Canis lupus familiaris: one gene and its partners. The protein of the gene in region 4 interacts with the protein of the main gene of each other region in a biochemical or structural test. Links are inferred from orthologs where the notes say so. Each region holds a gene or a part of one and is shown on either strand. Other genes may lie near its edges. The genes, in order: ENO1, HRAS, KHDRBS1, FYN and FYB1.

Region 1 (5,500 bases), on a different chromosome or scaffold from region 4:
GTGCCGGCGAGAAGAGAAAAGCTGTGGGCTCAGGAGACTGCGGAGCTGGGCTCGCCCTGGCTCCACTGAGCACGTTCTCTATCTTTGTTCCAGCAGGGACTCAGACTTCCTGGTCTGATTCTTGCTCCGTCACCTGCTAAGCACCTTCGGGCCGATTACTAACCCACTCCGTGCCTCAGTTCCCCTCATGAAACAGCAGGAACAGTCCCTACCCTGCGTGCGTGAAGTGACATAGAGACTAGAGGAGCGCCAGCTCACTGTGTCACCCACGGGCAGTCAGCAGGCTTGAGGCTCGCTCTGCTCACGATGGAGCCAGGACAGCCTTTGCTCAGGAGGCTGTGATAGGGACAGAGGGCTCACACACTCTGGAGACCACCTACCACCTGAGGTCAGTGCTGGCTGGCACCCCAGAACCACCTGACTCCACTGCTCCACCAGTGCCCGCCTGCCCCGCTCACCTGGGTAGTCCCTGATGAAGGACTTGTAGAGGTCAGCCAGCTGATCAGGCGTGATGTACCTGCTGGGGTCATCAGGGGACTTGAAGTCCAGGTCATACTTCCCAGACCTGAAGAACTCGGAAGCAGCTACGTCCATGCCGATGACCACCTTATCGGTGTAGCCAGCCTTCCCGATGGCATTCTTCAGCAGTTCCAGAGCTGGAAAGAGGTTGGCGACAGGATTGGAAACCAGGCAGGTGGAGAAAAAAGTTCCCTTCAGCAGCTGCCAAATGGGGAGCTCTAACAGAATGACCACGAGGTACTCTGACCCCAATCATCGCTTTGACGAGTCCAGTACTTCTTTCCGCATTGGAGCAAGAACCTGCTGGAAACGGCCCCCAGCAGACGGCCAAATGGAAAATTTAGTCTCTCCTCTCAGAGAGTTTCTTGCTGACACATGCTCCCAAATTTAGCAGCCAGGAGTGACTGTGCTGGCTGAGACAGTTACAGTGACCAGCTGAGAGCCGCTGTCCTAGGAACCCAGGAGGGCAGCAAAAGGGTGAGGCCCGGCCTCTGGGGCCTCTTGTCTCCAGCTCGAGGGCGGCCTCACACGGCAGAGCTGCCCGGACAGAGGCGGACAGAGGCACTTGGCGTCTGCTCCCTACCACAGATCTCCAAGCTATCCCATTAAACCACGTGAAAGGGTCATTTTTTGTAGGTCAAAGTAGCTGAGCCTCAGCATTTTGTATGACTGACCCAAAGAGCAGGATGGATGCTTTTTCCTTTACTAGTTGTCCCTGAGACAACAAAATGTGGTTGAACCCTCCTTTCCTTCTAAAACAAAAAGCTCAGCCGTGAGTTCTCCTCTTAAGACTCTCTGTGCCCTACCCAACTCTTACGTTGAACCCTGTGCCTAAGGGCTCCAGGCAACAAGGCACTGTGTGAACAGCCCTGTAGTGGATGAACTGGGGGGGGGGGGGGGGGGGGGGGGGGCTCCTGGTCACGGGCTGGACAGACGACATCTCCGGGACACAGTGCGGACTTCAAACCTTTGCCCTTATGAGGTGGTTCAATGGCAAGAGAGCAAGTAGGGGCACGTGGTGGCTTAGCTGGTTAAGTGTTTGCCTTCAGCTCTGGTCCTGATCTGAGCCTTTAGTTCAGGGTCCTGGGCTCGAGTCCCTCATCTGGTTCCCTGCTCAGTAGGGGGTCTGCTTGTTCCTCTCCCTCTGTCCCTCCCCCCTGTCCATATTCTTTCTCAAAAGAATAAAATCTTAAATAAGCAACCAGGCCACTCAGAAATCAAATTAATAAGCAAATTCCTTATTTTAACAAATAAAGTACTAGCTTCCCCATCTGTTCCCAGAAGTCTGCTTGGTGAACAGAAGGTGGAAGGACCAGAGCTCCCTGCATCACAGTTCCGGCACATCTGCTAAGCGTGCGGGCAGTGCCACGGAATGCGGGGACTCCTCCAGAGCCTTTACCTTCTTTGTTCTCCAGGATATTAGGAGCAAATCCACCTTCATCGCCCACATTGGTGGCATCTTTTCCATATTTCTCCTTGATGACATTCTTCAGGTTATGATAAACCTCTGCTCCAATGCGCATGGCCTCCTTGAAGTTCGCTGCACCGACGGGAAGGATCATGAACTCCTGCATGGCCAGCTTGTTGCCAGCATGGGAACCACCGTTGATGACATTGAAGGCCTAGGGAGAGATAGAGAGAAATACAGCCATCTGGCCCAGAGAGCGCCCCCAAGCAACCTCCTCACGACTGCATGGCTCACAGTGTGGCTCTGAAATGCTCACCAGGTCTCTCCCGCTAAGAGCAGCGGTCACCACCAGGTGTGCTTACTGTCCTGAGGACCAGCTATGACCTCAGAGAACATTCACAACCCAGCAAGTATGGTTTTCATTCCCTCATCAGCAGTAAGGGATGTGGGGTACAGTCCTCTACTCAGGGTCATTCTTAGCAAGTGGCAGGTGTCTGCACCCGAGACCTCCAGGGCCTGCGCGTGCCCACTGTGCTGGGAGAGTTCCATGTGGAGGACACCAAGATGTGGGAGGTCTTAGGTTCCCACAAAGCAAATACCCACAAGCTCCTCACTTGGAGTTCCAAGCCACTCACCGGAACTGGCAGGATAACTTCAGAATTGCCAGCCAAATCAGCAATGTGGCGGTACAGGGGCACCCCCTTCTCGACAGCCCCCGCCTTGCAGACAGCCAGGGACACTCCCAGAATGGCGTTTGCACCAAATTTAGCTGGAATAGAACAATTCAGTTGAGGAATTTCATACTCCCAGCTTCCTGCTGACCTTCCGGCCTGCACCCCCACACCAGCATATACCATGGCCTGTATCTGGAACCTTTCCTCTCCTGACCACGTCTATTCCCCGAATCCGAACCAGAAACCCAACAGCTCTCCACATGAACTCATCTATCTGCTTTCTCCCAAGAGAAAGCCCTTTCTTTGGTCTATGGAACTCTGGCAAATTCCACAAAAACTGCGTGCTGCTGTCACCTGGTATTGCTCCTGATACTTAGAAACGTGATTTATTCAGGTGAGGAGGGGGGCCCTGAAAAGCCCCCAGACTGATGCGCAGTCCTCAGTGGGGACCGCACAACCACCCCCAGAGGGTCGGAAGGTATTTGGGAGACACCAGCAGCCTCCACCCCTGACCACTCACATTTATTCTCTGTCCCGTCCATCTCGATCATCAGTTTGTCAATCTTTTCCTGCTCCACAACATTCACTTTCTGCGGGGAGAGGAGAGGGTCAGTCACGGGGGGATGGGGGTGGCGGCGGCAGTGTCATACCCCTCACAGGACCTTTGCGCTCCTGTGACAGAACCCAGTTAACTTTGGAACTGTGCAAAGTCCAAATCACTTCTATGTTATGTGTCTGGAAAGCAAAAAAAAAGAAGCGGGGGGGGGGGGGGGGGGGGAGGGGGGGGAATGGAGAGAAAACAGGAGGCACCAAAGCGCACGTCACTTGCTTTCCTGGCAGCAGGCATTTCTCCAAGGACCGGGGCCAGCAGTAAAATATGTCAGACATGGTCCCGGTGGCACCACACGGAAGCCAGAACTGCCTGGCACATGCTGACAAAGGTCACCACAAAATAGTGTGATGTGGAAATGGTACATAGCAGAACTCTGTTCACGCAAATGAGCTGGGCTCCTCACAGGTTAAGTGACACCACCACCGCTCGGCTATACCCAGTGATGGCACACTTCCCTGTCTCGTGGCAAACAGGACTTCTGCAGGCAGCCCAGAATCACTCAGCAAGATGCTTGATGACAGCTCTAGATGAGTATTTCTGGTCAGAGTATAAAGCAATAAACTGGTATCTTAAAGGTGCACCTGACTGACTCAGTCGATAGAGCAGGCAACTCTGGATCTTGGCATTCAGAGTTCAAGCCCCACGTTGGGTAGATTACTCAAAAACAAACAAACCCAAAAAACTGGGGATGCCTGGGTGGCTCAGTCAGTTAAGCACTTGCCTATTGATCTCAGCTCAGGTCTAGATCTCTGGGTGGTGAGTTTAAGCCCCAAATGGGCACCATGCTGGGCATGGAATCCACTAACAAAAACAAGAACCCCAAATCCACCCCTGCAAAAACTGGTGTCTTAAAAACTAACTCATTTATTGAATGTCAGCATTACTTTAAAAACTTCACAATTGATCATAATGTGTACTACTTATTATGTGCTTTATAAAAGGCAAAGAAAACCATCCCCAACTCCCATCATGCCACATTAATAATTTGACATTTGAAAAAAAAAATAATAATTTGACATTTGTTTTGACAAAACACATTTGGCAGGAGTTAGCCATCATCCAGGAATGATGGCTTGGGGCAAATCCTCACTAGGAGTTTGAAGATGGTCTCCCCTATAGCGGAAGAAAAATGTCCCGGAAAGCCCTGGTCATGAGGAGTCACGCCAGGCAAGGGCACCAGGCACAAAGATCAGGGTGTGTGGAAGTACCCAGGAGACTGAGTTTGGGGCGTGTGAGCCTGAAGAGCAGCAACGAGAAACCGTCTGGGACCAATTACCGAGTGCCATGAAGGCCGGGCCAAGGTGAGTGAGCCAGGGGGACATATTTCCACCTGCCACTGGCATACAGGACTTCAGGTGGGGAGGCCAGGGTTGGCCTCAGACCCAGAGAAGGCTCCTCTAGCCAGGGCTTTGCACATCTTCCCCGACCTGCACAAATGCCACCCAAGTTATGGAGGGAGGGCCCCGGGGGGGAGGGGCTGTTGGGTTGTTTGGCCCCTCCTCCCTACTTCACCCACAGCAGCTCTACTATTCTACACACTAAGGCTCCAAGTAAGATTTTTAACCACAGTTCCTCTGTTTCAAAAACGTCAGTAGAAATATAGTAAATAATTCCATAGTTCATGAAAAATAGTCACCACAGATACTATGCTCAATGCCCAAGAGCTGCCCTTAAAATTTCGATTTTAACTTCCCAAAGGTCAAGATAGTTGGAGGGGAAAAAAAAATTTAAGGCCATGAGACGGTCTCCCGTCACTGTACTCCAATTCCATGCGCTGTTAGATGTGGACACGCAGGCAGGGGGTGGATGAGAAAAGGTGAGATAATTCTCATGCACGACAGGGAATCCGACTGGCTACTTTAGCTCTCAGAATAAGCTCTTCTATAACCCGGAAAGCCCACTGGCCTGGGAGACGCTCTGAAGGCATTAATACATTAGTTCTCAGGAGGCAGGTCCTACCTTGCTAATCAGGGCAGGTGCAATAGTTTTATTGATGTGCTCAACAGCCTTTGAGACACCTAGAAGGAACAATCATATCAAATTACCGACATTAACGAAAAACAGGCTTGAGCAGCATTGAGCGAACTACCAATGACGTTAACCCAGATATCTGGAAGCCCACCCAAAGACCGTAAACGGGAAAGCTTTCAAATCCCCATTTCTCTGTGCCCCCAGAATCGGGGTACATTCTGGCCCAGTCTGAGTGCTCTTACCTAGGACCCCCAAGGATTAGAGCCACACACAGAGCAACCATCTCAGAATGTCTGAAGGGGGGTTAATCGGCAA
Region 2 (5,681 bases), on a different chromosome or scaffold from region 4:
CAGTGGGAGGGGCTCCACGAGAACAGCGCGCGCCGGCACCGGAGGGGGCAGGACGGGAGGGCGGGCAGGGCCGCCAGAGCGGGGCCAGCCTGGGCCTCCTGCGGGCTGCACCGTTCTTCCTTTTTGTAAACAAGCACGGTGTGTTGATGCACTACTTTGAAATTTAAAATAAAATGTCGAAACCACGTCTTTTTTGAAAGTCTGGAAAAGATGCGGGGTGTGCGTGTTCGCGCTCCGGATGGGGGAGCCGTCGGCACGCAGCCCTCGGGCAGCTTTCGGGCTGGTTTGCAGAGGGCCCATCGTTAACTGGGCCCCGCGCAAGCGTCTGCAGGGCCGGAGCCTCCGGGCTAGGGGGCTGGGCGGGCCGGCCTGCAGGGGGAGGCTGAGGAGAGGGGCGAGGCTGCGGCCCAGCGAGACCCCTGGGGCGGGATCAAACGATGCTCCGCGCCGCGCTGCCCCTTGTGGCCTGGGCGCCCCGGGTGCCGCGCGCACGACGAAGCCGAGGTGCCAGGCGCCCGTTCCGGAGCCACCTGATGGGAACGGGGGTGTAGGGCACCGAGCCCCGGCCATGAGGCCCCAGAGCTCGGGGCGCGGCCCGGCCTGCCCCGGCGCCCGCCTCCCGTCCCGGCCGTCCGCCCGGCGCGCCGACCCTGACCCTCCTCGAGCCTCGTCTCCCGGCCTGACCCCTCCGCTGGGCCTCGCGGCGCAGGGAGCCCCCCACCGCGGGACACGGGCTCCCGCCGGTCTGCAGCGCCCCCGCCCCGGTGCACCGCCGCCCGCGGTCCTGTCGGGCAGCTCCCCGCGGAGGCCGCCGCCCCGGCCCGCGCCTCTCGCGCTCCCGCCGAGCGCCCGCGGGCGCAGCCCAGCCCCCCCAGGCCGCGGCCCACGAGGGCCTCCGGGGCCGGGCACCGCCCTCCGCGCCGCTTCCCGGAAGCCCCGCCCGGCCGCGGCCCGTGACGGGCGGGCGGGCCGGCCAACCGGCGCGGGGCGGGGCGGGCCGGGGCGGGGCGGGGGCGTGGCCCGACGGCCGCGGCCAATGGCGAGCCGCGCCTGCGTGACGGACGGGCGCGGGGCGGGGCGTGCGCGCCCTCCCCCCCGAGTGTCCGCCCGCCCGCGCCCGCAGCCCGCAGCCCGAGCCGCACCCTCCGCGGACGGAGCCCATGCGCTGGGCGAGCCGCGCGCCCCGGCCCCGGCCCCCTTCCCCGCCCCCGCCCCGGCCCCGGCCCCGGCCCCGGGGGCAGTCGCGCCAGTGAGCGGTGAGTGCGGCGGGGGCGGCGGGCGGCGGGGCGGGGCGGGGGCGGCCGGGGCTGCGGCGCCGGGCGGTGGAGGCGGCGGCGGCGGCGGGGCGCGCGGGGGCGCAGGTGAGCCGCGGGCGGGCGCTGCGGCGGGTGCGGGGTGCGAGGTGCGGGGTGCGGGGGCGCCCCGGGCGGCGGCGTCCGCGCCCTCTCCTCCGCGGGCCGCGTGCGGGGCCCCCAGGTCGCCAGGCGCGCCCCCGAGGCCCGGGCGGCGGGCGGCCTCCGCGATGCACAGCGGGCGAGCCGGGCGTTCGCACCGGAGCCCCGGGCACCGCGTCCCGAAACCTCCCAGACCGGGAGCCGGGCCGGAGGCCGCGGCCCAGCGCCGTCCCCGCGCCTACCCCGCCGGCCTGCTCCCGGGGCCGCCATCCCCGCAGCCCGCCGCTGCTCTCCTGCGAAGCTCGAGCGGCCGCGGGCCTGGGGCTCCCCCCGGGACAGGAGGGCCCGGGCCTCGCCCCCGGAGCAGCAGCTGGCGGCCGCGGGCGCTCCGCAGATGCTAGTCCGGTGCAGCGAGGCGCGGCGGGGCTCTGGCCTGCCCGGGCACGCTGCTGCACTCCGCTGTGGCAGGACCTGTTTCTGCGGGGAGGGGCGGTAATCTCAGCCTGCAGGGCCTCCGGGTCCCTCCAGTGCACGCTTTCTGCCTACCCAGCAACTTCTAATTTGGGTGCGTGGTTGGGAGATGCTCTCAGCTGTCAGCTCTCCCTGCTCTCTCGCAGCCATGAGCGCCGGCGAGGTGCCTACCCCCCCCCCCCCGCCGCCCCCCCCGCTGGAGGTGCCACAGGTGGGCGGCTGCGCCCGGTTCCCTGGTTGTGTGGGGCCTGGGGACCGGGTCGGGGCCGGGGTGGTCTGCCCCACGGGGCTGGCTCAGGGCTGAGAGCAGCTTCCTCAGCAGGTGGGACAGGAGACCTCGTTGGCGTCCTGTGCTGCGTCCCGTGAGGAGCCATGACGGAGTATAAGCTGGTGGTGGTGGGCGCTGGAGGCGTGGGCAAGAGCGCCCTGACCATCCAGCTCATCCAGAACCACTTCGTGGATGAGTACGACCCCACCATCGAGGTGAGCTCGCCCAGCCCTGAGCCTGCTGTGGGCATGTCTGCTGTGGGCTCCGCAGGAGGGCGGCCCCTGCTCGTGGGACCTGGGGGTGGCACCTGGGGACCTAGGAGGGGCTGGTGGCTGGGTGGCCCCGTCCTCGGAGGTGTGGGGCTGGGCGTTCTGAAGCACTGGCCTGCCGCAGGACTCCTATCGGAAGCAAGTGGTCATCGACGGGGAGACGTGCCTGCTGGACATCCTGGACACAGCGGGCCAGGAGGAGTACAGCGCCATGCGGGACCAGTACATGCGCACGGGGGAGGGCTTTCTCTGTGTATTTGCCATCAACAACACCAAGTCCTTTGAGGACATCCACCAGTACAGGTGAGCCTCCGGCCGGCCCTCAGAGCCACCTGTTCCTCTGCCTCTCATCGCGTTTCTCTGTCAGGGTCTCGGATGCAGCCGTGCCTGCAGCCTACCGACTGGCTCCCACCTTCCTTCTTGTAGGGAGCAGATCAAGCGAGTGAAGGACTCTGACGACGTGCCCATGGTGCTGGTGGGGAACAAGTGTGACCTGGCTGCTCGCACCGTGGAGTCCCGGCAGGCGCAGGACCTCGCCCGCAGCTACGGCATCCCCTACATCGAGACGTCAGCCAAGACGCGCCAGGTGAGCCGGCTCCCCACCCCGCAGCTAGCTGGGGACCCGCCCCGCCCCGCCCCTGCCAGGGAGCAGTGCTTATTGCCCCCTCTCCCCCGACACAGGGCAGCCGGTCTGGCTCTGGCTCCAGCTCCGGGACCCTCTGGGACCCTCCGGGACCCCCGTGACCCAGCGGCCCCTAGCGCTGTAAGTGTCCCCGGACGGCAGGGCAGCGAGGGAGGCCGGGGCCCAGGGTTTGGGCTGACACAGCTCCAGGGAGAGGCAGAGGTCCCCAGAGAGAGCTGCCCTGAGCCAGGCCGAGTGGTGACCCTGGGGCCCTGGCCCCTGCCCGCAGAAAGCCCCATGGGCCCGTGTAGGCCCTGCCCTCTTTAATGGGCTGTGGGGGACCAGGGTGGTAGGTCAGACAGGAGCGGGACCCTGGATGTTAGAGCTGGGAGCCAGACCTCGGGGCTGCCCTGTGGGGGAGCTCCTGAGGGCCAAGCCGCCTGATGGGGGGAGCCCTGGGGCTGCCTGTGTGGGGGCGGGGTGGGGAGAGGCCAGGGGGAGCTGGGATGATGCATGAGCTTGACGCTGGGGTCCCTCGGTCCCCTGCGCTGCCAGGCCCCCGGGCCGAGCCGCACGCTCAGCCAGCCCCGTCTTCCCAGGGCGTGGAGGATGCCTTCTACACGCTGGTGCGAGAGATTCGACAGCACAAGGTGCGCAAGCTGAGCCCGCCCGACGAGGGAGGCCCAGGCTGCATGAGCTGCAAGTGCCTGCTGTCCTGACGTCCCCTCCAGGGCCACGTTGGCAGCCCCGCTGGTCCTCTGTGCCCCAGGCGCACAGGCTCGGGGCGAGGAGGTGCCGGAAGCTGGGAGGAGGCGCGGAAGGAGGAAGGAGGAGGGCGAGGAAGGAAGGAAGCGCCCCCGGGGCCCGGCCAGCCCAGGCCCCCTGGACAGGGGGAGCACGGACCTCCCAGGGCGCTTTGCACAGACTGTCGTGAACTGAGGCCACGGGCCCCCCCGGCTGTCACTCTCCCCCAGTCCCGTCCTTGCCCGCGGGGCAAAGGCTGAGTCGCAGTAAATTATTTGATGGTCTTGACCCTGGCGTATGGCCGCACCTGCAAGGCACGTGGGGACGTCAGCTGTGTGTGCCTGGCGGCGCCCCTGCAGGGGCTGGTCGGGGCCGGGAGGTCCCCCCTCCTCCTCTCTGGGGGTGTCTCCACACCCCGTGCACAGAGCTCCGGGAGACGCAGAAACGAGCCGGCCGTGCATTTTCACACAACACCTTATTGAACTTGCAACAGCAAACGGGCTCAGAGCCGAGGGTGTGCGCCTTCCCCTGGGAGACCTTCCTGTCCTTAGAGGAAAGCGGGAATCCCACGGGGGTACGGGTGCTGGAGTCGCCCACTTTGGAGCCTGTGCGGACTCCGGGTGGGGGTGTGTGTCCTGAGGTTGGGGTGTTGAGAGGCGGTTCTGGGGACAGCAGAGCTGGCCTGGACCTGCGGCCCATGGGCTCCTGCTCTAGGTCCCCGCAGGGCAGCTGGACCCCGGCCTCGGGCCCACTGGGGCCGGGTGACTGACTGCTGGAGCCCCAGCACGTGGAGGAGCCTGCCTCCTGGTGTGGGTGCGGGTGGGGCCCACGGGCCTGCCCCTGCTGCCCTGCCCTGGGGTGTCCCGGGATCCCCAGGGCTGCCCTAGGTCAGTGACCTGGATCTGTGGGGCACGCCCAGGGCCCAGGAGGCCACATCCGGCTCTGAGAGGGCTCGCTCAGCCCGGGGCCAGAACGCAGGCCTGGCCAGGGCCCCGGAGCACTGGATCCCATTAGTGCTGGGCCTGGGGGGCAGTTCTCGAGTCGCCCCTGCCCCCACAGAGCCTGGGGCCAGGCCAGCCCAGGTCCCTCTGGGTCAGGGGTTGGTGTCCTGTGCGGGGGGTGCCGCCCTCCGGGAGGGACAGCAAGATGAGGCAGGGCACGGTGACGGCGGGCCAGAGCCTCTGGGCCCCCGCACTCACCACCACGCTCTGCCCGCGAGCATTGAGCTGCCCTGTGGACGCAGAGGGCAGAGGGTCCCGGGCCTGTGCGGGGCCTCGGGGCAGCGGGCTCAGCGCCGCCCTGGCTCTGCCCTGGCTGTGCCCGTCACTGCCCAGCGAGAGGCATGAGCTGCAGTGGCCGCGGGGCAGGAAGGGTGTCCTGGGCCCGACAGCGTCGTCCCTAGGGGGCTGGGGGGACCCCGTGATGGGAGTCCCGGGGGTGCTCCAGGGCCTGGTCCGTCGCGGGGCCTCTGGGGTGGCCCAGGCAGGTGCCGAAGGGAAGGGGACCCCGTTTTTTGTCTTCAAGCCCACCGTGTCCGGGGGCCACCTGCCCGCACCGTCTTGTTACACTGGGAGGGTGGGGAGGGAGTTCCATCGCTGGGGGGGAAGTTGGACGATGGCCTGGCTGGGAGGGGGTCCGGGCGGCTCAGGCTGGGTGGCTGGGCCCGGGGAGGCCTGCTCCTCCACCCTGGGCGGTGGCTCAGAGGCCGGAGAAGGGAGGAGAGGCCTGGGCGCCGGGGACACTCGCTTCAGGCCGAGGGGCCTCGTGGGGAACTCCAGGTCCCGCTGGAAAGAGGCTGACGGGGTCAGCGTCTCCAGCAGGCTATGTGTTCCCCGCTGGGGGCCCCGGGGGTCCTCAGCTCCCTTGTGGCCCCCCCGCCTGACCCTGTGCTCAGCCCCCCACACTGGTGCCCG
Region 3 (5,500 bases), on a different chromosome or scaffold from region 4:
TAAAATTATAGAAGATAGAGAGGTGCCTGGATGGTTCAGGCGGTTGGGCATCCAACTCTTGGATTCAGCTCAAGTTATGATCTCAGGGTCATGAGATCAAGCCCTAGCTTGGGCTCCCTGCCTAGCTGGGAGTCTGCTTGAGATTCTTTCCCTCTGTCCCCACCCCCCACATTAGGGCAGACACATTCTCTAAAATAAAATATTTTTTAAAATTATAGAATTTAGAAACTGTGGGAATAGTATATAAGGAGGATATTTGGTGTTACTTAGAATGTTCCACTGACTTTAGGGAGTATAAATTTCTTTTTTGACTGTTTTCAGTGGACCATATAACCTTTTGTTGCTATTCATTGCCTTTGCGCACACTGCCCCATCTCTGTTAGTACTCTTGTCATAGTACTTAAGTGTATTTCACTGCCAACTTCATAGACTGGGATTGTCAGTGTATAAACATAGTGAAGAGGGAGATCATATTTGACTTATTTTGTTGTGTATCCTATACTTTATAGGTTAGATGCCTGGCCCTTGGCAAGTCTCCCCTAGTGGTTAATGATCATTCCTATATCTCTCCCTTATCTGCCTCTCCATAGGAAGCACTCAAATGCTTCCAATGAGTGGATGAAGTTCCCTAATTATAGGAGATCTTTTTGGATACTAAGATGATAGTTTCATCTGATGAAACTGTCTTAACCTGGGAATTGAAAGTACCTTGGTTTTCCTTTAGGACATTGAATTTGCCTAGATAATGTTGACCGTATATCAAGCACTTCCTAGGAAATGGGTTTTAGTTGGTGTGTGTATATACATTATTTTACTCGGTCTTTATAGCAGCCTCATGTGAAGTAGGTATTCCCCCCATTTCACAGATGAGGAAACCAAAAATTAGGGCAATTAATTAAACAACTTTTGAAAGTTTACACAACTAGTAAATGGCAGACTAAGAATGACGTCTTTCAAAAACTCTTAAGAACTACTATGATCCAAAGCTCTAATATCACAGTGGAATTTTAATGGAACCCTTCATTTTATTAGTAACTTTTGTTTCTTCATCAGGACTGTGCTCTTTTTTTGATACAGACTTTTTATTTTTAAGTCATTTATCCTCTTTTCCCCATCTCTCTGCATTTGTTTTGTTAAATTCATTTATTCTTGAGAAACATTTGAATGGCTCTGATGTAGAGGCTTCAGGTCGGGATGGAAGAGCAAACTACTTTCATAAGAAGCAACCTCTGGGTTTCCTAGTTAACTCTGTACACCTTTGATGCTTTCAGCCAGTCTCTATCTGAAATTAGCACATTCATCTGAACTATTTGGTCTTATGTTGTTTTTGCTTTATGCAGACTTGGATATTTGCATTTAGTTACCAGAACAAAAACTGAATTGTGTTTGTCTTATTCAGAAATTGAGAAGATTCAGAAAGGAGATTCAAAAAAGGACGATGAGGAGAATTACTTGGATTTATTTTCTCATAAGAACATGAAGCTGAAGGAGCGGGTACTGATACCTGTCAAGCAGTATCCCAAGGTAAGGCCAGACGTGCCTCACTTGGTTGTCTTTGTAGGTGTGAGAGCCACGGGCTATAATAAAGACTTCTGGAAATTGTGATGCATTAGGTCCTTGAGCCTGTGAAGCTTCTCTTCCATACTTGTAGTACTTGTTTTTGGTAGTTGAAACATCTGAGTCTGTAAGTAGCCGTATACCTATATCTAGGAAGGAAATATCAACTTTTTATTACCAAAAAGAGTTTCTTTCTCAAACATTCAGGCTCCAAGTTCAAAGAAAAAAACTGAAGAGTTGCTCTCTGTCAAAAGATTGATGTGGGGAAAAAAAAAGATTGATAAAATCTCAATACAGGGAATATAGCACAAATCTTTGACTAGATGAAGTTAATTTTATTTCTTAATCAGTGTTTTACTTTCAAATAAATACTTTCTTGTTTTTCTCCTCCTCCTCCTTTTTTCCTTTTTTTAAAGAAAAGAAATTAGTTATATTTAGTTTACCAAACAAGTACTATAAAAGAATGCCATATGTCTGTTCTGTAGTCACTGCCTTAAAAATATTTGTTTGTTGAAGCAGTAAGGGTTGCAGTGTGATAATTTGGAAAGAGCACTAGACTACATCTGGAAACCCAAGTTCAAGTCTAGGAACTGCTGCTTTCTATATGTATAATCTTAGACTATTCATTTTTTTCAGTGTATCCTCAGCATATCCTTTTCAGTAAAATAGGAATGGTAATATGCACCCTATTTTGCAGGGTTGTAGATCAAATGAGACAGTAATACATGTGGAAGTGTTTTATAGGAACATACGTATTTAGAAATCTATTTTTCTTTTCTGTCAGTTCAATTTTGTGGGGAAGATCCTTGGACCACAAGGAAATACAATCAAAAGACTGCAAGAAGAGACAGGTGCAAAGATCTCTGTGCTGGGCAAGGGCTCAATGAGAGACAAAGCCAAGGTAAGCTCACATCAGTGAGGCAAAAAGACAATGCCTCCTGGAAGCCAGTACTTATAAAAATACAGAATGTGAATCCCTTAAATTTGTGTTGGGTGTAAGAGATTACAGACCTAGTTAATTTACTTGTTTGGCAACGCTGGAAGAGGCTAGGTGTGCCCTAGTGGTTTTTTTTTTTTTTCCTGACTTTTGACTGCCTCGTAATAGAAGCAGCAGTAACAACTTTCACATTTGTAAGCTTGTCTCTGAAAACTTGGAAGGGAAGCTGTATATGCTAAAACTTATCCAGACTAAAGACACTAAAATGTGAACAGCACATTCCCTTTCCAGTAACATTGAAAAATGAGAGCAGTAATGTTGTGAGTACAGGTGAATCTGAGGATTAGTTGTCTGGGTTTTTTTAGAGCCAGTTGGAATGTAAAGAACACTAAAAGAAAGTATTTCAAAAGGAACCATAGTAATCCTGACAACAGAACCTAATGCTAATTTTTTTTCCCATGTCGTAGCCCATGAGCTTTGTATTCTTTATAAGCACTCAAAAAAAAAAAAAAAGAAAGAAAGAAAGAAAATTCTACCAAAACAGAATAGTCTTAGCATTCTAGGGTCAGCTTTTTAGATGAGATATATCAGGTACAGTCTAAGAACTTAGTCATTCAGGGCTCCTTTTATGCAGCCTAAACTGATGAACATTGTTTTCTTTTATCCACTCACATTTCTCACTAGATGAATACACTTAGGGCTGAAGTATGTTATTCTAGCTAATGAGATTTTCTTCACTCTATCCTGACTTCTTTCCTCCCCTAGAACATCCCAGACAATAAAAAGAACTGGTACTGGGACATCTGGCTGACTTAGTCACTAGAATATGTGACTCTTGATCTCAGGGTCCTCAGTTCAAGCCCCACAATGAGGGTAGAGATTACTTAATGAATAAAAAAAGTTTAGGGGCACCTGGGTGATTGATTCGGTTAAGCATCTGACTCGGTTTCAGCTCATGTCATAATCTCAGGGTTGTGAGATCGAGCCCTGCTTTGGGCTCCTCACTGGGCATGGAGCCTGTTTAAGATTCCCTCTCCGTCTCCCTCTGTCCCCCCACCCCCAAAATAAATAGTATTTTTTTTTTTTAGTGTAAAAAAAAAATGAAGAGCCTGTGCTCAACAGCTCTACCTAGGATTGATTGATTGATTGATTGATTTAAAAGATTTTATTTATTCATGAGAGACAGAGAGAGAGGCAGAAACATAGGCAGAGAAGCAGGCTCCATGCAGAGAACCCAGTGTGGGACTCGATTCTGGGACTCCAGGATCATGCCCTGGGCTGAAGGCAGACACTCAACCGCTGAGCCACCCAGGCATCCCTCTACGTGGAATTTAAAAACAAATGCTTGGCAATGAATGAATGCATGCATGCTTGGCAAACAGCTTATATCTGAATGAAGACTGGAATTAAGTTTCTCTCTTCTACACCTAGTAAGAGCTGCAGTGAATATACCATGGACTCAATACAGTGGTTAACTTTTAGTAGCAGACCAAATTACAGGTTTAGCAGGTTGTGTGAATTACTATCCTCTAGACTTTGTTTGCTTTTGTCTTACACTTTGCTATTTTTCTTAGATATTTAATTTCTTTCTCTTTGAGCTGGAAATAACTATCATTTTCTCCCATTCTATGTGATGTGATGTTTTTCTGCATTTTTCCATAGGAGGAAGAGCTGCGCAAAGGTGGAGACCCCAAATATGCCCACTTGAATATGGATCTGCATGTGTTTATTGAAGTCTTTGGACCCCCATGTGAGGCTTACGCTCTTATGGCCCATGCTATGGAGGAAGTCAAGAAGTTTCTAGTACCAGTAAGGAAATCCACATCCTATATCTTTGAGCAAAAGAGAACTGGGATCTTGTACTGTTGCTAATAAGGCAGGGGTTCTTAATCATGATCTCTGCATAACCTGAAATTGCATACCAAATTCTGTATTTATGTTCATTTTTCTGAGGTAGTGTGTTACTTATACCTAGTTCTCAAAGCACTGTGCCCCAAAGCTACTCTACCCCTCCTTGTCTAATGTGGTTTTGGTTATATACCAGGATCTATTGTTAGTATCTTGGGTCTGCAGTGTGTCTGGCGTTTTAACATCTGATTAACAAAGATTTAACAGTCTTCACTGAATTAAGTGTGTTGGTACTAGTGTGGAACCAGGAGGTTATGATAAGAAGAAGGCTAAGATAGTCGTAAACTCCTTGTACTCAGGGGTTAATGTTCTAGACTTTGGAGAGTGTAGAAGATAACAGCAAGAGGCTTCTAGCATCCAGTGTTAATATATTAAATTTTGACCTGGGTGCTTTCAGGGCTTTCTCTCCTGGAGGAATTTACTGACATGGAGTTTAATTTGAAAGAGGCATGATTTTATAGTCTTGACTATTGATATTAAACAAATTGGTGTGCAGTTCCTTTCAGAGTGTAACTGAGGCCCACAAAGAATTGGGACAGACCAGGTTACATATCTTGCTTATTTTACCACCTGGTCAGAGGGTCCATTCTTTGAATAAGCAGAAAATGTTGTGATTTTTGCTCAGCAAGACTTATTAGTTGTCAGAGTTAACAAACTACAGTTGAATGTTTAATAACCAAGGATGAATCTGGAACCTTAGGAAGTATGTGAAATACTCTTAGCTAGAATTGAGTAAGCATCCTGTTTTTATCACTAAAACTAATAGGAGGTGAGATACAGTTCTTGGTTTTCTTGAATATGCAAAATGAGGAGTTGGAACTATATGTGTCAGAGGATGTGAGAATTGGTAGAGCAAAAATTTATAGGCAGTGTGTACCTATAATGCTGAGCTTCAAGAATTTCAACACTGTCTCAGATGTCTCAGCAGCTGCTTGGCTTCCAAGTACTTCATCTTCGTTAGAATGTTCAAACATGAAACAGCCAATTTAAAATATCCTAGAGAAGAACTCAGAGCTGGTAAATTTTTCCTTGAGGGAGTCCTTTTTACTCTTTTTGAGGTGTTCTACTGAAGCATCGTGAGCCACCTAGTTCCTGAAG
Region 4 (6,022 bases):
CTGTGATTTCTAAGGATCCTCCTAGCCACGTGGGGAGTCTAAAAATCAGCAAGAAAACAGAAACAAAAAAACACAACAACAACCCTGGGCCAAAAATAGGTGCTCCTGGAGTGAAAGAACCATATCAAAGTCAACAGCAGAGGCATGAGATCCCTGTATTAAAAGTAGTCACTGAGTGGGAACTAGCTGCTTGAACCGACAAAAAGCAAAGTTTTTTAAAACACGTGTAAAATAAAAAGGTCTGAACTCAGGAAATCAAAAGAATAAAACACTGATGGGTACAGGCTCCAGGTTTCCATATATTTTAATTCTCATCAGCCTGCAAGCTCCTTGAGGGCAATGACTGTGCCTCGTTGAGTGCCAACACATGGCAAAGCTGCTGGCCCAAAATACACTTCTTCTTGATCTCTTTTCTTTGTCAAGGGGCTAACCTGTGATTCCTCGGCTCCCCAGCAATTAAATGTGGCCAAATAACTCACCCTCATGTTACAGGATGTGAGTGGAGGTGATGGGTGTCATTTCCAGGCCAAGGCATTTAAAAAGTAGACTACTACATGAGGAATAATAAACATCTATTGCTTTTGAGCCATTACATTTTTGCAGGCCTATTTGTTATAGCTGCTAAAATTAGCTTAATGAGTCCAGGTGCCTGGCACATACCAAAGACCTAATTTACATTTATTGATATAGGATAAGTAAGTCCAGCTTCCTTCTCTCAATGTGCTGACCGACTAATGATGGGAACAGAGACATGCCAAACGTAATGCCTACTGCTGAAGTCTGAAAACAAAATTGGAGGCGTGGTGATTTGTTTGGAGGGGAGGATGGAAAAAGCATCAGACTTTTGAGCTGAGCCCGAAAGGTTAAATAGAACCCAAGAAAATCAGATGGGATTGGAGAGTCCAGACCCAGTACAAAGCATAGAGTAAATACAGAAAGCAGAGTGTGCATTTGTTCACATTCAACCTTATCATTAAGTCTCTTTAGCTTGGTCAACACAGTGTGAGCTTATTGTGCACTGACTTTCCTTCCTGGGTCTGGCATCAAACAAACAACCCTTTGTTTTTACAGTACACTCATTAACCCTATTGCTTTTTTTTTTTTAATATAAAAAGGTCCACGATGAATGTCCTTAGAAAGTGGAGAAGTAAATGTTTAGTGAATCATAACTCTTTTCTGATAAAATTCTTGAAGCACAAACTTGAAACGGATTCCTTACAATAGTCAAGGAGCCATGTTCTTAGGAATCAATGGGGTTCAAACTAAGTTTTCACATTATCGATTAAGCATGTAATGGTCACCGGCTTACAAAATGGAACATTAAGCCTCTAGATTTACATTAACATTTCCTCTTTGAGAGGAACACCAAACAGATGGTTCAAAGTTCCTTCACAAGATTCTCTACATCCTTTGCTCTCATTTAAGTGTGCCCAAACATGAGATAGTTAACAAACCACTTCCTCCAAAAGCCTTTGAGTCCCTACATCTGCAAGCACAGTACCCATGGGATCAGGACTCAGGAGAAAGAGCACAAAGGGTGGAAAGTATTGCCATCGCTTGGGTGGTGAGAGGAAGGATGTGGGTGTCTGAAGGCTACTCTGAAGCAGGGAAGAGGCACGGTCTCCAGTGGTCTTCCAAATACCAACTTAGGCCATGTTTTTTTGATGTCCCCAGAAACTTGTTTAAATATAAGGCCAACACAACACCACTGGGCAGACGAAATTTCATTTCAAGACTTCAGCATTTCTTAAGACTTCAGAGAAGAAGTCTGGCTGCCTCGCTCTTACTAAACGCCAATTATCTGATGCAGAAGCAAAATTCTTCTGCCCCCACACCCATGTTTTGCACCCCAGCTCTTGAGTACCTATCCCCCGAAGAGAGGAGGTTAAAACAAGGCAGAGGAGGGCTACCTTGACAGTGAAGCAACTCTGGAGACGGCTGGCATCATTTCCCCCTTAAATCTAAGGAACACTGCAGCTGCCAGTCAACAGCACTGGGTCCATGAATGTGGCAAAATGACAGCACCTGCCACCCTGCAGCATCTGGGGCCTTTTATTTATTTATTTATTCTGGTCAATGTGGCAGGAAAGACTCTCGGAGAGAAAATCAACTGCTTTATCTGAGAGAAAGGGAAGCCCTAGTGAAGAGAAATAAGAATCATCGTGCCCATCCTTGGGTACTTTGTGCGTCTCCTCTCTGTGCACTGAAAGGGCTCTTTGTGTCACACACACACACACACACACACACACACACACACCCGGCGAGTCTGTGTGATTTATTAAGGGGAGGAGGGGCAAGAAGGGTGATTTTTATTATCCCTCTTCTCACGGAGTCCCAGCAAATCTCCGCCTGGGCCCAGCCTCGGTGGCCTCTTTCTGGCCGGGTCCCCTCCGCCTGTGGCCGCAGAGATAAGAGCGGCGGAGGCGACCAGACAAAAAACAGTCCTCGATGTGGGGAAGTGGAGAGGAAGCCCAGCGGGCAGGGATGGGAGGAGAAGGGAGCCTGGGGGAGCAGAAGGGGTGGGGAGGCAGAGGAAGGAGGCCGAGGGCTCCAGCACGGGGGCCGGGGGAGGCTGGGTGGGTGGTGGCACAGGAAGAGTGAAGGGGAGGATGGGGGAAGTGCTAGGGAGGTGCCAGAAATAGGCAGGAGGATGCGCTGAGGACGGCGACGGCCGCGGGAGGAGGCCGAGGGGGAGTGGGGCAGGGGTGGGGTGCGCTGGGGAGGGGAGCAGCACGGGGCATCAATTATTAAGTGATTACATCATCCCTGACATTAGGACAACACACACACACACACACGCGCGCGCGCGCGCGCGCACACGCACAGCCGGGTCCCCGCGGGGGCCCCCGAAAGGAGGGCGAGGGTGGAGCCCGGGCCGGCCTCGCCCCCCGCGCATCCCCGCGCCCCCCGGGCCGCGCCCCGCAGAGGCGTCCCCCGCTCCGCTCCGCTCCGCGCCGGCCCGGAGCCCGGCAGCCCCGCGGGGCGCCCCGGAGGCGGCGGCGGCGGCGGCGGCGAGACTGCAGCGCCGGGCGGGGGCGGGCGTCTCCGCAGCATCCCCCGCCCCCCGCGGCCGCTTACCTGCGCGGCGCTCAGGCTCCGGAGCCCATGCACATGGTCCTCCCCGCCCTCCTCCGGCGCGGCCGAGGCGGCTCGGCGGGCCCGGGAGCCGGGGGCCTCCCGAGGGCGCCGAGGGGGCGGCGCCGCGTGTGCCCGGGCCGGCGGCCGGATCCCTCTCGCCGGCTTTGTGCGCGGCGGGCGCTGCCGGGGCGCGGGGGCTGCAGCGCCGCGCGTGCTCCTCCGTCCCGGGGCAGCCCGCCTCTGCCTTCGCGGGCGGCCTCCGCTCACGGCGCCCCCTCCTCCTCCCGCGCGGCAGCCCCCTCCCCGCCGCTCGGCTCCTGACAGATGGCGCAACTGCAGGGACGCGCCGCCGCCGCCGCGGCTGCTCGCAGCTACTCGCGCGGATGCTCCGGCCCCTCCAGCCCCAGCCCCGGAGTGAGGACGGGGCGGGACGCGCGCGGAGACTGGCAGGCCGCGCCGGCCTATCGCAGCACGCGTGCGGAGCTGCGGCCGGCGGCCATTGGTGCCCGCGGCGCGGGGGGCGGGGCCGCCGCGGCGGGGGCGGGGCCGCGGCGGGGGCGGGGCCGCCGAGTGGGCGGGGCGTTACTGTGGCAGCAGGCGTCCTGGCGCGCGTGCCGAGTGGGCTGCGAGAGGGGATGCGAGGCTGGAGGAGTTGTGTGTGCTCCGGGGGATCGCGTGGACTCGCGAGGTCGTGGGCTCGGGCGGGGGAAGGAGGGGACAGTGCGAGCTGCAGCTCCTGCTTTGCGGGAGGTTGCAGCTGCCACTGCAGAAAGGCATCTGCCATCCCACCCCCCCCCACCCCCCGCACCCAAAACCAGGGGAACCTGCCTGGAGAAAGGGCTCTCTTGCCCTTCTGCTGCCTTTTCATTTGAAGGTGGGAGGGTAAACTGGGAAAGGGTTAGGTGGTGAGGATGTTGCCGCTCATCACACTGGGGAGTGTGGAGCAAGGTAAGATCCAATCCCAGGAACTCCGAAAGACCCGGAGAACCCTGGAAACGCACAGTTAATATCAATAATAATAAAGAGAAGGAGGAGATTAAGATTAATCTATTACTCTTGCATTTCCGTGGACGCACACATTTATTTTCAAGCAAAAGCCTGGAAGAAGTAGTATTGAAATAGGGGGAGGGGTGGAGAGGGCAGGTGGCGACTTAGGAATCTGAAATCACAGAGTAGAGATTTGTTTGTATAGTTTTTTTCCCCCCAAAACCATGTATAATTGTAGCTGTTGGTTGTCTTTGGTTTCTCGTGACATTTCGCTACTCATGGTTCCCCCCCCTCCCCTTCACCAAATCTCAGCTTTTGCTCAGATTTTCCTTGATGAACTAATAGCCGGTTAAGTATACAGTTCGGAGTGCATCAGTCTTTATTTCCTATCCAGCTTTTCTATGGCAGGATGTAACTTCATAAAAAGAAACACGTTGGCTTCCTGATTTTCTTTATAGGTAATTCCTGTTTACTGAAAATTCTCCTTTAAGGCATGCTCAGAGTCATTCTCCTTAGTGCTTTTGGCAAGAACCCTACCCTTCCCCCTCAGCAAATCTAATGTTCTGAGAAATAGAAGTGAATTAGCTTCTGATTCTATGCTCAAAATCTATATTACCTTTCCTGCCCACTAGTTTTTTAACCAGAATTTAAAAATATCAGTCACTTTTGCTGACTTTTTTTTGTACACAGTACTTTGAAAAACATTGCCCCCGTGCCTGGGTGGCTCAGTCAGAAGAGTATGTGACTCTTGATCTGGGGGTCCTGAGTCCGAGCGCAATGTTGGGTGTAGAGATTACTAAAAAAAATAAATGAAAACTTTCAAAAAAAATTACCAACATTATTAATGGATCTCCATCTTATGGATGAAGAAACTGAGGGCAAGAGAACTTAGTAACTAAACTCCAGGGGATAGTATAGGGTGATTACTGCGGGGTGTTGTTTCCTCCTTAAAGTGATAAATGATGCCATATTCAAATTATGTGTCTGGGAATTCGTTCCACGGTCCCAAGAAATGGAACCACAACAACGCATAAAAGGTTTCCATTACAAGAGAATGCCAACGTCATCTAGCCAAAAATTGTTGATCTCGAGAGAAGGGGCTCCTCTTCCTTAGTACTAGCCTCTGTCCTAGATTTGAATTGCGACAGGAGAGGCAATTGTCTAGAACAATGATTCTCAAACCTTAGCATCTTTCAGAATTACCAGAAGGGACTTGTTAAAATACAGACTGGTGTTTCCCACTCCCAGAGGGTCTGATTCAGTAGGTTTGGAATGGGGCCTGAGGATCTGTACTTCTCACAGTTTCCTGGTGATGCTGATGCAACTGGTCTGGATACCACATCTTGAGAACCACTGGTCTAGAACCGGGCTGTCCAATGAGGCAACCACTAGCCTAGGTGGCTGTTAAGTACTTGAAATGTACTTGTGTATTCGAAATGTGGCTGGTGCAGAGTAAGGTATGCTGTAAATGTAAAAGACATATTGGATTTAAATATCCAGCATGAAAATAGAAATGTAAAACATCTGATTAATTTTTATATTGATTACACGTTAAGATAATAGTCTGCGTTGTGCTCAATAAAGTATATTATTAAATTTTATTTCACATTTTTGTTTTTATTTTTAAATGTAGCTACTAAAGAATTCTTTCTAAAGATTTATTTATTTACTTGAGAGAAAGAGCACAGGGGGGAGGGCAGAGGGAAAAGGAGAAAAAGTCTCAAGTAGACTCCCTGCGTAGCATGGGGCCTAGGCCTGAGGAGGAGTCGAGCCCAAGGTGGGGCTCGATCACCGGACCCTGAGCTCGTGACCTGAGCTGAAACCAAGAAGAGGACACTGAACTGACCAAACCAACCCAGGAGCCCCACTACCAGAGAATTTTATTTGTTTTTTTTCCAGAATTTTAAATAGCATATATGGCTTGCATTACATTTCTATCGAATAGCAATGGCCTAGA
Region 5 (5,500 bases), on a different chromosome or scaffold from region 4:
TTTTTTTTTTTGAAGCTACAGCTGCTGCCGGCAGAGAGCTCACAACAGAGCAGGCTTTGTCCTTAGTAGAACAAGGAAAGATGCTGAGTACAGCCGGCAGCTTGCCCTGGCGAGAGTAGGAGAAAGCACCATCCTCTTCTTCCCCTTCTCCAGATGCCTCCTTGGGTCCTTGCCTGCTTCACCTGCTCTTTCCGGATTCCTCTGGGGTAGAGGGACTGACTGTGCACTTCAAATTCTGTGAGCAGACAGGATGCTTAAAAGCACAGATTCTGACAGCTATCCTTCTCCTTTTTTTCTCAACTGAAGCTATTTCTGTGATAAATATGAGACACTGAGGAAAAGGAAATTATACATGCAAATACTTCATCACATAGCAAACTTGCTTCTCCGCTCCCCAAACTTCTTTGCATCTCTCCTTCCCTCCTTTCCTTCCTTTCTCTTTTCCAGCATGCTTCTCTCCTTCCACTTCATCCTGTAAATGCCAAATGGACCATTTTAGGAAGCTAAAGAATTGCTCTAAAAATAAAATAATGTGTGGCAGCTTTGCTCCTGATTATTAAGACTCTGTTCGTTGGGAATTGGTAGAAGAGTCTCCAAGATGAAATGTATTTGCCAGGAGTGGCAGCCAACCAAAATTGCAATTTTTCACATAATTCTAACTGCTTGCTTCACGCTCAAAGGGAAGTGTCAGACAAAATGAATGTGAAAACAGTATGGAAGCAAGTGGAGAATATACTTAAACTTCATCAAAAATCAATTCCTTATTTACACATTAGGACATTTATAGCATGTTTTTCTACAAAGTTTCATTAACTAGAGTATGGTGGTATTTTTTTTCCCCTAAATTAACCATAGACCTGTGTTAGAACATTTCTTTTATTCTGACTTTAAGGTTGAGGAATCAGATACAAGTGTATAATTAATACTGCATGGTTATAATATTAGCCTGATATCTGTTGCTGGCAGATTATCCAAAGTACAAAAATGCTAGTTACAGAGGGTGCAGCGAAGTGTAGACAAAACATTATGGAGGAAGGCAGGATGCCGAAGTTCTTATGTCAGCTCTTCTGTTCATTAAAAGTGGGTTTGGTCAGGTCACTTCATTTTCCAGAGCCTCAGTTTCCTTTCTACAAAATGAGGGGATTAAGCCAGTCCTCTGAGATTTTCCCAGTTCTCACAATCTACTTTTCTTGTGCTGTAGCAGAACTCACATTTTAGTGGGAGACACAGGCAAGAAAACAGATGATTATAAAACAGGGAAAACACAAAATGTTAGAGAAATAAATACGAAATACAGACAATATGGATTTAGAAAATTCAGGGCCACACTATTTGCAATAATAATAAAATTTCGGGGTACCTGGTTGGCTTAGTCGGTTAGGCACCCAGCTCTTGATTTCAGCTGTGATCATGATCTCAGGGTCATGAGATTGAGCCCCGAGTCAGGCTCTGCTCAGGGTGTGGAGCCTGCCTAAGATTCTATCCCCCTCTTTCTCTCTGCCCCTCCTCCAATTTGCACATGTGCATGCGCAGTCTCTCAAATAAATAATCTTTGTTTTAAAAAAAGAATAAGATTTTGTAAGATTCCAAGTTTTTAGAAACCCTCCCTTTAAAAAAAGTTTATAATGCTACTAGACTAAGATCAAAATGTTGTGGGTATAACATATTAAAAGAGAATTGAATTTAATTGCAATAATGGTTCTTTATGACTCCTGGAACAATACTGCTGGTTGGTTGGTTGTTTTTCATAAATCTATCTACAGAATGATATAATAATGTATAACCTGAAAACTACCTCACGGGAAATGTTAGAAGCAAACAGTAACATTGTTTTGAAGACTTTATGTAGTACTAACGTTCACTTGGTTCTTATTAGTTTGTTTTGGTTTGGTTTTTGCCTTGTTTCTATTATGATAAGGAACAATGTTTCTTCCTCTTTACATACAACATCCTGATAACTTTTAACTGCAGTGTTATTTCTCTTTTACATAACTGTTCAATATAGGCAATTCCTTCCCATTAGCTACATAATTCATAAGCTCATTTAATTTGTTTATTTTTTTCCTAGCCACAGTCAGAGTGGAAGTGGAGGTAAGCCACACACTTTTATCAGCAATTTCTTTATGTCTTCACCATTTTTGTCTATATTAATAACAAGATGCTTTTGTTTGCACATAATGAGGAGGATCTTAATGTGGTACCACTGGATTAGGAGCTAATGACCTAGATTGCAGTCCTGACCACTGAGTGACCCTAAACAAGTCACTTCTTTCCTCCAAGTTTGTTATGGGTTATAGGGTGACTCTATTTCCAGTGTGCCCAGGGCAGTCTTGATTTATGCCAATTGTCTGAGCACAATTATTAATAGTATCCCCCTTCACTTTCAGAAGTATCCTTATTTGGATGATAACTTATATGGTTACCTTAACTATGACAGCTAAAAACTCCTCATATCCTCATCACCAAAATAAAGGTATTTTACTAATACCTTGAAGTGCTAAAATTCTCATCCTAAAAGTCAGATTATAAGTTCTTTGTACACATTTCTGCAAGGAGGAGGTACTCAATAAACATTTCATAAATAAATATTTGTCAAATAGCAAGGTTCCTGGGGATTTACAGCAAAGGGTTTTTAACTCCTAAAATATCACTTTGATTAAATGAATCAGAGCTACCACCAAAATTCACAAATTCACGTTTAATTCTGTTTTTCTTCACTTATATCTTGATCATTCTCTTTTTCTGAATGTCCCCTCACTATTAATTAAATTTTTCTTATCACCTCCTCCCTCCTCTTTTCCACAATATTTTAACTCTATCTTCAACTCAGTTTTATTTTTTCTCATATTTATTCTCCCCACTGCACAGTACCCTTTATTATCCTTCATATTCAATATTCAAATTTCACCTCTAAGAATTCCTTTAAAAATAATCAACAAAACAATTAATTTACCTACTATCTATGTAAGAGTGGGAAAATAAAGTTATTCTTTAATTAAATGGTTAATAAGGAACAGGGATATTTTCTGCAGTTTAAATAAGGCAGATTTATTATCAAATTTTGAGTGACTATTACATGACCAAATTATAAAATTAACAGAAGTTTCTCTCCCCCACCATCCAAATGAAGGGATGTTCCCACCTCCTCCCCCAGATGATGATATTTATGATGGGATTGAAGAAGAAGATGCTGATGATGGGTAAGAATAATCAGTGAACTGCTTTCTTGAAAATTTTTTGCCAACTGAAATTTAGTGTCGATTTCTGGTTTGAATAAAAAAACAAAAAATAGTGCTCCTTATTACCACACGAATAATAGTTTGAATGTTTACTTAATAGCAGATGTAAGTCAGAAAGTATAATTGCACCACACTTCAAGTGAAGTGGCATGTTATTTGGAAGAATCTCAACAACTTTGTCAAAAGAAATGAAATAAAAAAGAATTATCAGTGTTGTAGTTTTTTTTTCAAACTTTTCACAATCATTTTTTTATCAATCTATAATCTCTGGAGAGTTTATCAGTTGTATGGCTATCCTCTGGATAATAACCATAGTTATAGGCAATCCAAATAAAATGAAACCATATGCTATTTGTGGCAAAACTAGTATTGAGGGGGATGGGGTAACTGGGTGACAGGCATTAAGGAGATCACATGATATAATGAACACTGGGTGTTATGTACAACTGATGAATCAGTGAACTCTACCTCTGAAACTAATAATACACTATATGTTCATTAATTTAATTTAAATTAAAAAATAAAAATTAAAAAACAGTGTTAATTCTCTAAGTGTTTAAACTTTTATAATGGCATATTTTAAAACAAAGATTTTCACTTAATTTTAAACATAAAATAATGCAAAATTGACACTTATAACTTAATTTTGATTTAGCTTGCTGTTTTAAAACCAAGAGATATTTCACTAAATAGAAAAAAATAACTTACCTACCAGTAGCAGCAATATTCAAAGACCGTGGCCGATAAACTTAAAAGCATCATCTTGGTGACTACAATGAGTAACTTACTGCCTGAATGATCAATGCAGTATAATTATAAAAAATCTGAATGTCCACCCATCTTCACATTCCATTGATGATTCCATTCTGATCAATGCCTGCATGCTCCTAAGCTCCACACTACAGGTTGAAGAGAAGAGTAATTCGTGGTCCTGGGGGATTTTGAAGATGTTAAAGGGAAAAGATGACAGAAAGAAAAGTATACGAGAGAAACCTAAAGTCTCTGAGTCAGACAATAATGAAGGTTCATCGTAAGAGTCAACCAACCAAATCCAGTGCACAATAACTACACTAATATTAATTTAATCAAATGCTACTAATATTTTATAACCAATAACCAAATTCTGACAGGCTTAAGTCACTTCGATGTCATTTTCCATTAGTCATTTTAGCCTTATTTACTGTCACCCTTACACTCACGCATTTATGTAAGAGGAACACAAAGTATTCAAAAATTATCATATGGTTTAAAGATATATTTTGCCTTCCCAACAAACATGTGCAGATAACACACACAAATGCACAAACACACACCCTCACATACTCCTACATACTGCGTTTAGTAGAACTTTTTTTTAAATGTAGCATCATATCTAAAAGCTCACAATGCCAAGGCCACATTATATTATATAATATTTGATAGTGACTACCCTTCAAAATATACATCCTCTTTTAAAAATTAATTTGCTGGAAGTAAAGGACAAAATTTGGAATTTCTTTTCTCTAAATAAATATTCAACGTCTCGGTAGCTCAACAGATTCTCCATACTTCACTAATGTCTTTTTAAATGTTAATTCCACATAGAATTCCTTATTTTAAACTCTTCTGTGAGACCTAAAATCAACACCTAGTAAACAGGACACTCAAAATTGTAAATAAACATAACAAATCCTCTTTGATTTTAACAAATCCTCTCTTGATACAGCATTATTCAAATGATGACCTTACTTAGAAATAAAGGCAGAGATTATTTTTCTTGCTCCTATTGTACACCTCCTAATTTTGATTTTCAGTCATTTGAACTAATGACCTTTCACACCTTAGTATAACTGTGCACCATTCTTCTAGAGATGTGTGTTTGTGTGTGTGTTTAAAGTTCAGAAAGTTATAAAAGCAAAGGCCTTTTTCTGTTGCAACTAAATGCCACCCAATGCTGATTTCAGATTACTGATTAGATTGCAACTAAATGCCACCCAATGCTGATTTCAGATTAATAAACTCTTCCTCTGTGGCTACAGTGGATATTCCTCTCTTATTCACCATTCTCCTGTTTGGGAAAACATGGTCATAGAAAGAATCCTATGACCTTTGTTCATTTCTACTCTTTAAGTCAAATAAAAAGTTTTGACCTGAGCTATGCCACAATGACTCCAAAACATTGAGTCCATTTAATTTACTCTGATGTGATAATATGCCCAAACTTCAGAGAACAAATCTGAAAATATTTGGAAGAACCTCAAAAATAGATGGCTATGGGCAAA

The links.
Region 1: of the proteins of FYN (region 4) and ENO1, one has a biochemical effect on the other in vitro, tested with the Homo sapiens proteins (2 studies listed by BioGRID). The link is inferred for Canis lupus familiaris from reciprocal best matches to the Homo sapiens genes FYN and ENO1.
Region 2: the proteins of FYN (region 4) and HRAS form a complex in vitro, tested with the Homo sapiens proteins (2 studies listed by BioGRID and IntAct). The link is inferred for Canis lupus familiaris from reciprocal best matches to the Homo sapiens genes FYN and HRAS.
Region 3: the proteins of FYN (region 4) and KHDRBS1 form a complex in vitro, tested with the Homo sapiens proteins (4 studies listed by BioGRID and IntAct, with this or other methods). The link is inferred for Canis lupus familiaris from reciprocal best matches to the Homo sapiens genes FYN and KHDRBS1.
Region 5: the proteins of FYN (region 4) and FYB1 form a complex in vitro, tested with the Homo sapiens proteins (2 studies listed by BioGRID and IntAct). The link is inferred for Canis lupus familiaris from reciprocal best matches to the Homo sapiens genes FYN and FYB1.

Annotation. Positions count from the first base shown.
Region 1 is NC_049226.1:62,796,925-62,802,424, forward strand, and holds part of ENO1 (alpha-enolase), read right to left. Parts: intron 5,233-5,500; coding exon 5,174-5,232; intron 3,192-5,173; coding exon 3,122-3,191; intron 2,697-3,121; coding exon 2,563-2,696; intron 2,142-2,562; coding exon 1,919-2,141; intron 657-1,918; coding exon 459-656; intron 1-458. UniProt on the Homo sapiens protein: Glycolytic enzyme the catalyzes the conversion of 2-phosphoglycerate to phosphoenolpyruvate. In addition to glycolysis, involved in various processes such as growth control, hypoxia tolerance and allergic responses.
Region 2 is NC_049239.1:25,992,440-25,998,120, reverse strand, and holds HRAS (GTPase HRas), read left to right. Parts: upstream 1-2,182; 5' UTR 2,183-2,237; coding exon 2,238-2,348; intron 2,349-2,526; coding exon 2,527-2,705; intron 2,706-2,828; coding exon 2,829-2,988; intron 2,989-3,075; exon of another isoform or gene 3,076-3,083; coding exon of another isoform or gene 3,084-3,146; exon of another isoform or gene 3,147-3,623; coding exon 3,624-3,743; 3' UTR 3,744-4,056; downstream 4,057-5,681. UniProt on the Homo sapiens protein: Involved in the activation of Ras protein signal transduction. Ras proteins bind GDP/GTP and possess intrinsic GTPase activity.
Region 3 is NC_049223.1:68,528,672-68,534,171, reverse strand, and holds part of KHDRBS1 (KH domain-containing, RNA-binding, signal transduction-associated protein 1), read left to right. Parts: intron 1-1,399; coding exon 1,400-1,524; exon of another isoform or gene 1,525-1,706; intron 1,707-2,341; coding exon 2,342-2,458; intron 2,459-4,156; coding exon 4,157-4,303; intron 4,304-5,279; exon of another isoform or gene 5,280-5,500. UniProt on the Homo sapiens protein: Recruited and tyrosine phosphorylated by several receptor systems, for example the T-cell, leptin and insulin receptors. Once phosphorylated, functions as an adapter protein in signal transduction cascades by binding to SH2 and SH3 domain-containing proteins.
Region 4 is NC_049233.1:68,718,962-68,724,983, forward strand, and holds the start of FYN (tyrosine-protein kinase Fyn), read right to left. Parts: upstream 3,445-6,022; 5' UTR 3,079-3,444; intron 1-3,078. UniProt on the Homo sapiens protein: Non-receptor tyrosine-protein kinase that plays a role in many biological processes including regulation of cell growth and survival, cell adhesion, integrin-mediated signaling, cytoskeletal remodeling, cell motility, immune response and axon guidance.
Region 5 is NC_049225.1:70,767,189-70,772,688, forward strand, and holds part of FYB1 (FYN-binding protein 1), read left to right. Parts: intron 1-2,068; coding exon 2,069-2,091; intron 2,092-3,130; coding exon 3,131-3,200; intron 3,201-4,131; coding exon 4,132-4,269; intron 4,270-5,500. UniProt on the Homo sapiens protein: Acts as an adapter protein of the FYN and LCP2 signaling cascades in T-cells. May play a role in linking T-cell signaling to remodeling of the actin cytoskeleton. Modulates the expression of IL2. Involved in platelet activation.